Caenorhabditis elegans: one gene and its partners. The protein of the gene in region 3 interacts with the protein of the main gene of each other region in a pairwise test. Each region holds a gene or a part of one and is shown on either strand. Other genes may lie near its edges.

Region 1 (3,758 bases), on a different chromosome or scaffold from region 3:
ATGAAGGAACAGTGTGGTAGTGAAACACGTAAAGTCGTGAACCTAAACGATTTGAAACTAAATTGAATTTAAAATACTTCATCAGTGAGCTTTTTTTTTTTAATCTCTAGTTTCTAAACTCCTGCTGGCGAGCTAGAAAATTCTTGTAAATCTAACTTTTCTATAAATATTTCTTTGATGAGAGCATTTTTCAATGAGTACAGAAATAGATAGAACATACGTAAACCTGTATCAATGCCAACTGAACAAATGTTTATGAGATTTTCTAAAAATGTAGTCGAAGAAGAGACGCTAACAGTTTTTAAATAAACATGTTGTGTTTCGAAAACAACTGGTTTATTCTGGTTATTTTTATGTCACGTCAGATTTTTAAAGCGAGAAGGTTTAAAAAGTTATGCGTTTATTGAAACTGAATTGTTTCGGTATATACAAAAATCAAGAATCAGGAACAATTAAATTACTTTCTGCGGCAGCATTGTCCATTTCCGCATGGAGAGTAGTTAGCTTGGCAAGAGCAGGAGCTCTGTTGTGGGCTCTGCTGGCAGGCAGTAGTTGCTGGTTGAGCAGCTTGGCATGAGTTAGAGCATGATGATTGGCAGGCAGTTTGGCACTGGGCAGCTGGCTGTTGTTGCTGAACACATTGCTGTTGGCAGGATTGTTCGCATTGTGGGGCACATTGGGATGATTGAGCAACAGAAGTCTGGAGAACAATCTGGATGACTTGAGCTGGAGCTTCAGTGGTGGTGTCGTATGGTTGGTACATTGGCTGAGTCTGCTGGGAAGTGCAGGAGTTGTCGCAGGCTGGTTGGCAAGCTGGAGCGCAGTTAGCGTTCTGGTTGGTGTTGGTATTGTATGGGTTGTACATTTGAGTGTTGGTGTTCTGGTTCATGTTCTGGTTGTAGACTTGTTGGGTAGCCTGAGCAGTTTGTTGGCAGATATCAGAGCATTGAGTGTTGCAAGCTGGCTCGCACTGGTTGGATTGTTGCTGTTGCTGGACACATGAAGATTGGCATTGTTGCTGGCACTGTGGTTGGCATTGAGCTTGAGCTTGTTGGATCTCGAGTTGGATTTGGATCACTTGTGGGGCCTGGGTGGTAGTGGATGGGGAATCACAGGCAACATTGCATTGTTGTTGGCATTGTGGCTGACATTGAGCTGCTGGTTGTTGTTGTTGAACACAGGTAGATTGACATTGCTGTTGGCATACTGGTTGGCACTGTTGGTATTGGACAACTGGAGCTTGGGTGGTGGTAGTAGTGGTTGGTGGGTTGTACATTGGAGTGCATTGAGCCTGGCACTGTTGCTGACATTGTGGCTGGCACTGGGACACTGATGGAGAAGCCTGGCATTGCTGTTGGCAGCTCTGTTGGCAAGCTGGGGCGCATTGAGTAGATTGAACCTAAAATTTTTGATTTAATGGTTTGCGAATATGTTAATGAACTGTACCTGAACTTGTTGAGTTTGTTGTGGCTGAGCGCATGAGCAGGATGGGGATTGTTGTTGAACTGGAGCAGATTGGCACGAGCATGACTGAGTCTGTTGAACTTGTTGGCACGAGCATTGGCTCTGCTGTGGCTGAGCACATCCACACTGTCTCTTTTCACGGATTGCACTTCCAGATACCACAAGGGCACATGCAAGGAACGCAATAGAAAGTGAAGTAAAGCGCATTTTAATAATGATTCGAACCGAGGAAATCGGATGGTAATGAAGCTCTGTTCTTCTCTTTTATATGACTTTTCCAGCTGCTCAGTAAACCGGTTCCAGTTCCTAATTTCCTGATCCTCTTCTAAATGTGACTCTCTCTTGCGGCCGCGCGCAAAAGCGTTCGCCTAAAGCTTCAAGTAAGCTATCGAGTCACTAAAAAACTCCGAGCTAATACAGGAATAAATTGTAGTATTGCGCAAGCAAAGAAGAGAGGTCTTGTTTGAGTTTGCTCTATGACCTTGTTCACGCAAGGTTCGCACATGAGAACTAGTTTTCAAGGGCAAACAGCGATAAGCAATCTATTTTTATAAGATTTATCTTTTAATTTTGTTTAAATTTTTGAACCGTTCTAGCTAATCGAAAATCAAAAGAATCAATGAACCACATAGACACGTAGACATGTAAGAACGACAAATTTCGACTCTAATTTAATTTACATGATTTGTCATGCATGACATAAGTTGGTTTTCAGACCCGAACATTTTTTCGATTTGATTGTATAGAGCTACAGTGGTTGCTGCCTCGCTTCTGGGATTTCCTAGCTTCCGGGATCTCTAGAGTTTGAAATTTTAGTTTTGAACTCACTTTGAAACACATTTCAAAGTTTAAAAAATTAGGTATAAAAACATTTAGTTAATAGCCTAACGGATTTTTTAAAAATAAATTGTATCTATGCGAAATGTGAAAGAAACTATGTTTGTATTGTAGCTGAACGCCACCGGCCCAGGTGACTCGAGCCTGACAAGAAAGTTTCAATTTTTCCAGATATTTCTCTCTCATTCATAACATTAACTTTTTCATTTCCTGTTGGCTGCAAATTACAATCATGATTTCCGTGACAACAATCTCTGCAATTATGCTTTTGGTAAGATTTTATTGTAGCTCAAACAAATTGATGTACCTTCAGTTTTCCCTCTGTGGATTTACAATAAATTGGGCAATTGTGATTATAATGATAAAAGTTACAAAGTTGCAAAAACCATTTGCAATTTTAACTGTTGGTCTAGCGATTGCTGATGGAACATTTTCCGCGCTCTACTTATTCTATGCAACTCCAATGGTATTTTTGTAAGTTGAACAAGTTTTTTTTTTCATTCAGCGAGGCCAACAGTTAAAATAAAAATTCCATTCAGCGAGAGCGATATTTTATCAAATTATTCGAGTGTTTGTGGATATGTTCTTATGATTTGCTACAGTGCTTCAACAACTTTTCATTTCATGATATCCCTTAACAGAATTCTAGCAGTGTATAAACCAATGCTTTATCGTATGATGTTTAGTGTTTTGTTCACGTTTTGTATAGTAATGGGAATTTATTCCTACGCACTTACAATCATAACACTATTTTTTCAAATTTGTAGGTTAGTTTAATGTCAACTAAAATTGACGGGAGAGTTGCAGTGGGATGTCAAAATTTTTATGACCAAGAAACAAGAGCATTTCGTTATTCTGGAGGAGACGTTTGTCGTTTTTATGCAACTTATTTAGACTTTTATCTTGTTTTTTCATTGACTATTTCCAGTACTATTTTGGACTTTTTAGCTATCGGAAAAGTGTTAAAAATTAGCTCAAAAACAGAAAAGCACTCAAAAGAACTTAGCTTGTTGAAACAGGTAATATTGATCTTTATAGATTGTTTTAAATAATAATTTCAGTCCATAAGCCAAACTCTATTTGTTCTTGCAATCGTTTGTAGTTTTACTTGGGGTCCGCGTTTTATTCCAGACATTGATTACACCTTTATTTTCTCTTCTATTCTCTGGTCTTCAGTGCATATGTTTGATGGGTAATTGTAAATATTCTAAATACTCAAAAAGTTCTAATTTAGGTTTTTCACATTGATTTTCAATCCAGAAATCCGAAGGAGCTGTTCCAGAAGCGGCCAGCCACTGGCATTCAACGTTGTTAGATCGAAATCGGCTGCATTGGATTAAGAATAGAGGTCTTTGTTAGTGGAATTGTAATGCTCAAGCCAATTGTCATTGTCTAGGGTTTTAGGAACTGAGTTATTTTTATATCATGAATTTTGGTTCAGAACATGTGCTTGTAAA
Region 2 (3,758 bases), on a different chromosome or scaffold from region 3:
AAGCATTTGAGAAGTTTTTGGTCAATTTTCTTGGATATCCTCCCCACGTACTTAGGAAAAATCCATTTATCAATAAATTTTTACTATGAAATGAGGAAGAAAACAAAGAAAAATTGAAAAAGAACAAGAACAACAAAATTCAAACAGTAGTAAATGGAATAACAAAAGAACAATTTTTGTAATAACTGAAAAATTTAGAACTTGGTCTTTCTCTTTCTTCCGGAATACTTCGACTCGTGTCTGACGTCGCGTCCCTGCTTAATCTGTCGTTGACGTTTCGCCTCAATCCATGCTTTCGATCCTTTCGCGACTTTCTCATTTTTACGAGAGTTCCACACAAATCTGAAATTATATATGAAAAATCTATAATACGCTTTGATTTTTTGAGTTCAAGATACAAGATTCAAGATTCATTAGTTATTTTTCAAATAAATCCGAATTCTCACCTTCTTCCAGCATTATCAATCTGTGTTCTGCTTTCTTCTCCATCTTCAGTCAATGCTTGTGGAAGTTGAACCACTCCTCCAGTCATCAAAACCAAATAAACTTTCTTCCGTTTGGCGGCTTCAGGAAAATCAACAACAAGTCCTCCATTGAATCCTGCTTTATGAGCTTGACCCATAATCAGATCGCATTGCTCATCGTTTTCCGGGTAGAATTGGAAAACTGCTCGTGATCCACGCCCAAGGCATCCATAGAGTGATTGAAAAAAGAAGAGAAGACGTTTACGTGGATTCTCATCTGAAGCATTTGCATGGCATAACCATTGAATGGCTGAGATACTGAAAATATTTAAGGTTGGGTACATAGAAAACTGTAATAAATTACCTAATTGCACCATCAAAACTTCCAGGCCTGAATGGCATTCCTAGTCCCATATCTTGATGAATGAAATCTCCAGATTCAAGGTCTTCATCTTGACGAGCAATTTCTGTAAAAGAGACGAAACATTTACATTTTTCCAGGTAATCTTACCTAACATTGGTCTGGAAACGTCAACGCCAACAAACATGTGACCAGCATCAAGTATAACTTCAGAACTCATTCCGGTACCGCAACCTGAAGAATTTTTGTTGAAAATCAAGCGTTATTATCCAGATGCCAACTTTTGCTTCAAGAATAGGGTCCGACGAATTTCCCCAAATTCAGAATGAATGTGCGCCTTTAAAGAGTACTGTAGTTGTGAAACCTTTGTCATTGCGGAATTTGCAAAGGTCAAAAAAAATTTTTAGTTTCTTCAAAGTTTGATCTGTTTTTATATTTTTCTTGCAATAAACTTAAAAGAAACGAATGAAAACTTCGGAAAAAAACGCGGAGTTGGAAACTACAGTACTCTTTAAGAAAACTTTCCTTACCAATATCTAGCAAAAATCCAGATTTCCCTTCTGGAAGTGCCAATAGCTCTAGTGCTCTTTCAGCCATTTCATGTTGAATTGCAGTGATGTGGGAGTTTGATGCATATTTTGCTGCTTCGGTTTCATTGTAGTACTGAAAAATTGAAAATAGAGATGGTTTTTGCTGTAAATAATTTTTTATATTCAATTAACAAAATAAACCAGAGTAAAAAAATCAATAATTATCGATGTTGAAATTTTCCGAGACAATTTTAAGGTAGAAGATGAGAATACTCATTATAATGTATATTTTTTGAGAAAAACGAACCAAATCCGGCGGTCCAGTGTGCTCTGGTTTCACTTTGAACGAAGCCATTTTGACTGAAAATCAGAAGTTCAAATTAATATTTTTTCTATTTTTACAATTATTATTAAGAAATATAAGAAATTGTTATAAGACAATTGATATAAAAAGAAAAATACGTTTACTTTAACATAAATTCAATTTATTGGATCGTATGGGATAGAAATCTTGAATAAATAAATAAAAATTCTATTTACATCTACAGTATCGACGAGTGAAGTCTACTAAAAGCATCAAAAACAAAAGTTTCTGGCAAGTCAGGGTTTTTGGAGGAAAATACAAATCATAAGGTACATAAGTCTGAAATTCGTTGATGGGAAAATATCATCACTGATAATTGTTAAAGCTCATGCTGTGTAAAGATTCGGAAACTGAAGTGCTTGATGACGAATGACAATATTGTTGAAGGAAAAGTGAAGGGAACCAGTATTGTGTTGTATCGGATGCCTGTTCATCTGTCCATGCGAGTCCTTCCTTCACAAGATGTTCCAAGGCAGAGCTTGCGCGGGCTTCGTCCCATCTGAAAAATTAACTAATTAAATAACAAACTAAAAAATTAACAACTTTTGGATAATAGACCTACCTCAATTTATCAATAATCAATTCCTTTGTAACGTAAGCAGCATCTTCTGCAAGTTGAAGAACTCTTGAATGATCCATACTCAATTCTCCTGGAACCGACTGAACCAGAAAACGACCACCACCGAGAGGAACCAATTCAAATCCGTTTCCAAGTACTTTCAATTTATCTACGGCACGAAGAATATCATCTCTGAAAACATACATTTTTAATTGATTTCATAAATATTATTACGTTGAAATGGTATCTTTACGAGTTCTTGATCGTGTTCTCATTAATCGATTACGAATTTCTTCAACTGTCATGATGCCTCCATTTATGTGTGTTGTAGAAAGACAAATCTGAGAATAAAAATAATTATTTCACTACATAATAATCAGACATTTTTTACCTCAACAATTTGAATTCCCAGCTCGTAATAAAAGTCTCCGAAACCAAGCGCTTTCGCCCAGAATCCTTTACTCGCTGAAAACAATTAATTTGAAATACTCTGTTAAAATGATGAAAATATACATGCTAACGGATCAACTCCAACACTAGCACACATTTCTTGAAAATGACGACGAAATTGAGAGTTCTTCTTGATTTCATCTCGATGTCGTTGCGCAAACATTTCCAGTCTGTAAAAATTGCAGTTTGACACTAAATGTCCGATTAAAAAAACCAACCCAGCCGAAAGTTGCTCTAACTGTTGCGAGAATTGTACCAGTTGCTCTCCAGCCATTTGATCTCCCTTTGCGGCAAACTGAAAAATAGGAATTTGGGGTTTTTCAGTCAGTTAGCTGACCTTATTGGCAGTTTCCTGCTTTTTCTGAATTGCAGCCACTCCAATTCTTCGTCGTGTCGCCATCCTGGGAAGAAAAACTAATTTAAAATATGCTAAATGCATAAAATGAAATAATGTAGTTGGCAAAAGAACCAATAATTAATTTTTAAAAAATTACAATTTTCTGAAAATAATAACTATTCTTAAATCACAGAATTTCAGAATGTCAGGTACCAGTAAATTGAACTCGAAAATAAAATTACTTAACAAAAAAAGAAACTTAACAATTATTATAAATACAATTTTTGAAAACAATAATAAGGTCTATGGACTTAAAAAAGTGCTAATAAAAACAGAAGATTCAATGTTTAAAGTGGCATGCCACCATTTATCGGGAAAATAGATTACTTCTCCAGATTTCATTTCGCATTCCAATGGAAGTTCGTCGCGGGACAATTTTGGATAGTCATATGTGTACCTGTAACAAGGAATGTTAACTCCAAAGATAAAATAAAAATACAAAAAACTAACCATTCCAATGTTGTTTTATCCGGATTCCAGTTCGGTCTCTGCTCATATGGATACAGGAACCACCGTTTTGATCCATGAATCACTTCAGCGAATCCAGGTCCGTGAAAATGAAATGGTACTCCAGTTCCAGCACCCGCAATACCAAATGAGAGTGCTGCAGTGTGACCGGGAAGTTTCCATTCA
Region 3 (3,758 bases):
ATCAACTATATAGATATAGCATTTGTTAGATACCAATTTAAAAAGTTTCTCTTTTTTGATCTACCCCAAATTATGAGTAATTTAAAACCATATATGTAATGCTATCAATTTTTCCTATAGGTGATAAATTACAGTACCCATACAGCCTAAGAATTCTAAAATCTATTGTAATTTTTCTCATAACTAGGCTACCAGTAGACATCAAAAGTCAAATAAGCGACACACGAGTTGAATAGAAACAAAAAGAGTCTTCTCTCTCTCTCTCTCTTCTAAGAAGGGCATGATATCAATGTCTGGTTAAAACTGGGAAAAGGGGGTCCCTCGGGAAGTTGTGTGGAAGAAGAAAGAAGAAGAAGAAGAGGCTCTTTTTCTTTTTCATACACACACATTTCTCATTTACACTATGTTGAAAAACGAGAAAAAAGTGGATGGGAGGAGAATGAGAAAAGTGTCTCTTTTATTTTTGACCTGACTCTCATATTATTAGACGTTTTGTTTCAGGGGTAGTAAACGCGTTTTGAATGGTTTTCTATCTTTTGGCATTAATTTTTCGCGGTTTTCAAAGAAAGTGTGAGCATGTTCAGTTTTTGCTAGTGGAACAAGCATCGCGACAAAAATGGACAAAATCGTTCAACTATGTAAAAACCTTAATTTAAAGTTGCTTTTAACCCTATACGTTATACCGTTAAAACATACATCTTAAAGGTGGAGTAGTGCCAGTGGGGAAGTTGTTAAAAACCAAAAGTCCCAAAATGATCTAATATCATAATAAAACTTTTCAAAAAATTTTTGAAAATTTTTTATTTATTGTCAAAAAGTGGTGACAATTACTGAGTTTTTGCCACTCATAATTTTGGAAGTCGACCAAAAAAAAATTGTTTTTCTACATTTTTAATTCTGTAATCTTGTTTTAATTATTCGTATTAAAACATTGTAGGGGTCGAAACATGCGGCATACCTTTGGACTTTTTTTCAAAAGCTCTGATTTTTCAAAGTTTTGGCAATATGCCAAAACTTAGGCCGGAAATTATGAAAAATCTAAAATTGTGTTATATTATGATATTTGGTCGTTTTGGATCATAATAAGTGTACTTAGACAATATCCCCACCTTTAAAACGTTATACCTTATTACGAAAAATATACTATGTATAGCCTTAACTTAACGTTACGTTTTAACTTTTTTTAAAAATATTACACGATACTTTATAACCTTTATTTTAAAAACTAACGTTATAATTCGTTACACATGTAAAAACGTTGTTTTAATATGATCGTTCAATTAAAATTTTAACGTTTTTTTAATATATGATACTATAACCTTAACCTTTTAATCTTGTTGATAACGTATAATTTATAACATTTGAAATCAGGCTAAATCTATATTATAGTGTGTAATAAAACGTTGTAACGTATAACAAAGGACATAGCGTTACAGTTAGTTATAGCTTTGATTTTGAAAACGTATCGAAATATTGTAGTGTGAAAGCTCAAATAAATTCTTAAAATTGTACGTGATGACGGTATAACAGCTACCTTATTTAAATACATTTATGACGTCACAACAGTATTAAAATACATGCTTACAGCGGTAACGTTCATTTTCTAAACTTTTTAATTTTCCGACACTACTTGAAAAACATCATTATATTGCTATATCCAACAAAAAAATTGTTAGAATTTGGTATAAAGCTTTAATTTTTTTTTTAGAAACAAACAAAAATACTAACCTCTTCCTCATCCTGATCGACAGGCTCATGTTCCTCCTCAATACAAGAAGACGTACTTGACATGGAGGTCTTGTACCATGATGGGTCCTCTGACATTCTGGAATATAAAAGTTGTTATATACAAAAAGAAAATAATCAAAAATCACAGGGTAAATAGAGGCTAATCGTATATACAAATAGAAGCGGAAAAAGCAATGAAGTTCAGTTTGTTTCTTATGCTTTTTGAAGACTGCGGTTTTTTTTTTAAATTTTGTTATAAAAATTAATATTTTAACTCAAAGAACAATTGAAAACGTTTTAAAGTTCAATTTCAACAGAAATAATAAGAATAACCAGAAAATTCTAATTTATAAGGACAAGTTTTCAATTTTTTAAAGTAACATCGAAAAAAACTGTATAGAAGTAGTAATTAGTATGAAAATTGAAACTTCTTATTGAGAAAAAGTTATAATAGGTCAACTTTTAAATTTAATAATAGTAAAAAAGCCCCGTTTAAAGCGGTTACATTATGAACAAATTAAATTTTAACAAACTCAAATAAAACAAGTTCTATTTAAGTAGTTATCACAGTACTTAAACAATTATAAATTCCAAAGAAATATTGATTTTATAGGAAAATCCTGAACTTTTCCCATACAAAACCCTGCAAAATCCAATAAACAACCTTGAAAAGTTGTTAGTTTAAACGGGGAAAATGTCGTCAAATGGTGTGTTATTCCATTCAATACATACGCATATATCGGGTACGCAGACATTGAATTTGACGACATATTGGTAGGCAGAAGGGTAGGAGAATGGGGAAAAGGGGTCATGTAAAGGAAATTGAATTTGGGATGCGTGGAATTTGGAGTAATTTTGGGGTTTTCTGGGGGGATGGGGAATTGAATTTTTGAATAGTATCGGAGTAATTAGAGATATGAGAGAAGAAAAATAGTAATTGTTTGGAAAATGTGTGTAGTCTTAAATTCAAATTCCATGCAATTGAGTTAGTCAAAAAAAGGAAGTGTATGAATGTTATCATACGTTATAATACATATATGTACATAAATTATATATACCGTACATTCCCTATTAGTATGGCCCCCCGTCAATCGACTTTGTCGGCTCATATTTCAACGGTTTAAAAATATTTTTGATACCTTCAAAAACCAAAGCATAACGATAGATTTGAAAAAAATTGTGTCGTTTGAATTTTGAATTTTTGAAATATGATCAAAGACAACCGAGATATAAACGTACTAAAAAGGGAATATATGGTAAAATTCCATGGTGTGTTATAGAATTCGGTATATATATAATTATATAGGTATATAGATATATAGAATTAAGTACCTATGTATATCGGTTCTAGTTAGCTATTTCTAATTAATAATTATTACAGTCTTGAACGAAAGTTTCAAAACTGTGAGGTATTAGACTTTGTCACTTTTATGCTTTTGTCAAACCAAAGTCAGATGGTTCAATAACCTATTTTCCCAAGACAGTGTATCATATAAGCTTGAAATACAGTCTAAAACATCGATTTCAGAACAAAAAATGGACAAGTCTTGTTTGGTGATTGGCACAAAACACTTCAGCTCAAAAACTCATAAACTGGAAAAAAGTTGATTAGTTTTTTTTTGCAGAATGTAATTTTTGAGCTTGCCGTTGTAGTTTAGAGGCTTATACACATTATTGGGGGATACGAAGCTAACCATTCAGTTTTTAGACATGGTGCATTGATCAACCAACTAAATCAGTTAATTAACTAGAAAAAGACATGTACGTTTTCTGAATAGACACATACATTGAACTACATATGCTTCAAATACGCCTAGCTGAGGAAACAACATGAACCTTTAAACTACAGTTCGTAGTACTTTTTTAAACCTGACCAATCAATCATTGAACATGGTGCATTGGTATATCAACTTTTCAAAAATGCATAACTAGACTAGTATCTATGTGTAATAGAAACGTAGATACTAGTCTATTAGTCTAAAAAATTTCAATTGCTAAGACTTGAGGATTATCAAAAGTTTAGTAGTGGT

The links.
Region 1: the proteins of zoo-1 (region 3) and abu-15 interact in a two-hybrid assay, tested with the Caenorhabditis elegans proteins (one large-scale study listed by BioGRID).
Region 2: the proteins of zoo-1 (region 3) and C27F2.4 interact in a two-hybrid assay, tested with the Caenorhabditis elegans proteins (one large-scale study listed by BioGRID).

What each region holds. Positions count from the first base shown.
Region 1 is NC_003283.11:5,156,536-5,160,293, reverse strand, and holds abu-15 (Activated in Blocked Unfolded protein response), read right to left. Parts: upstream 1,693-3,758; 5' UTR 1,672-1,692; coding exon 1,447-1,671; intron 1,400-1,446; coding exon 458-1,399; 3' UTR 387-457; downstream 1-386. Other genes in the region: srx-39 (G-protein coupled receptors family 1 profile domain-containing protein), read left to right, coding at 2,534-2,572, 2,615-2,775, 2,841-3,064, 3,109-3,320, 3,363-3,493, 3,536-3,641.
Region 2 is NC_003281.10:4,958,587-4,962,344, forward strand, and holds the start of C27F2.4 (Methyltransferase BUD23), read right to left. Parts: upstream 1,719-3,758; 5' UTR 1,711-1,718; coding exon 1,663-1,710; intron 1,489-1,662; coding exon 1,356-1,488; intron 1,060-1,355; coding exon 976-1,059; intron 932-975; coding exon 829-931; intron 783-828; coding exon 447-782; intron 343-446; coding exon 195-342; 3' UTR 1-194. Other genes in the region: vps-22 (Vacuolar-sorting protein SNF8), read right to left, coding at 2,026-2,218, 2,282-2,470, 2,513-2,619, 2,670-2,743, 2,792-2,898, 2,947-3,023, 3,066-3,128; C27F2.9 (JmjC domain-containing protein), read right to left, coding at 3,369-3,522, 3,576-3,758.
Region 3 is NC_003279.8:14,527,598-14,531,355, reverse strand, and holds the start of zoo-1 (Tight junction protein ZO-1), read right to left. Parts: upstream 1,828-3,758; 5' UTR 1,825-1,827; coding exon 1,729-1,824; intron 425-1,728; exon of another isoform or gene 376-424; intron 1-375.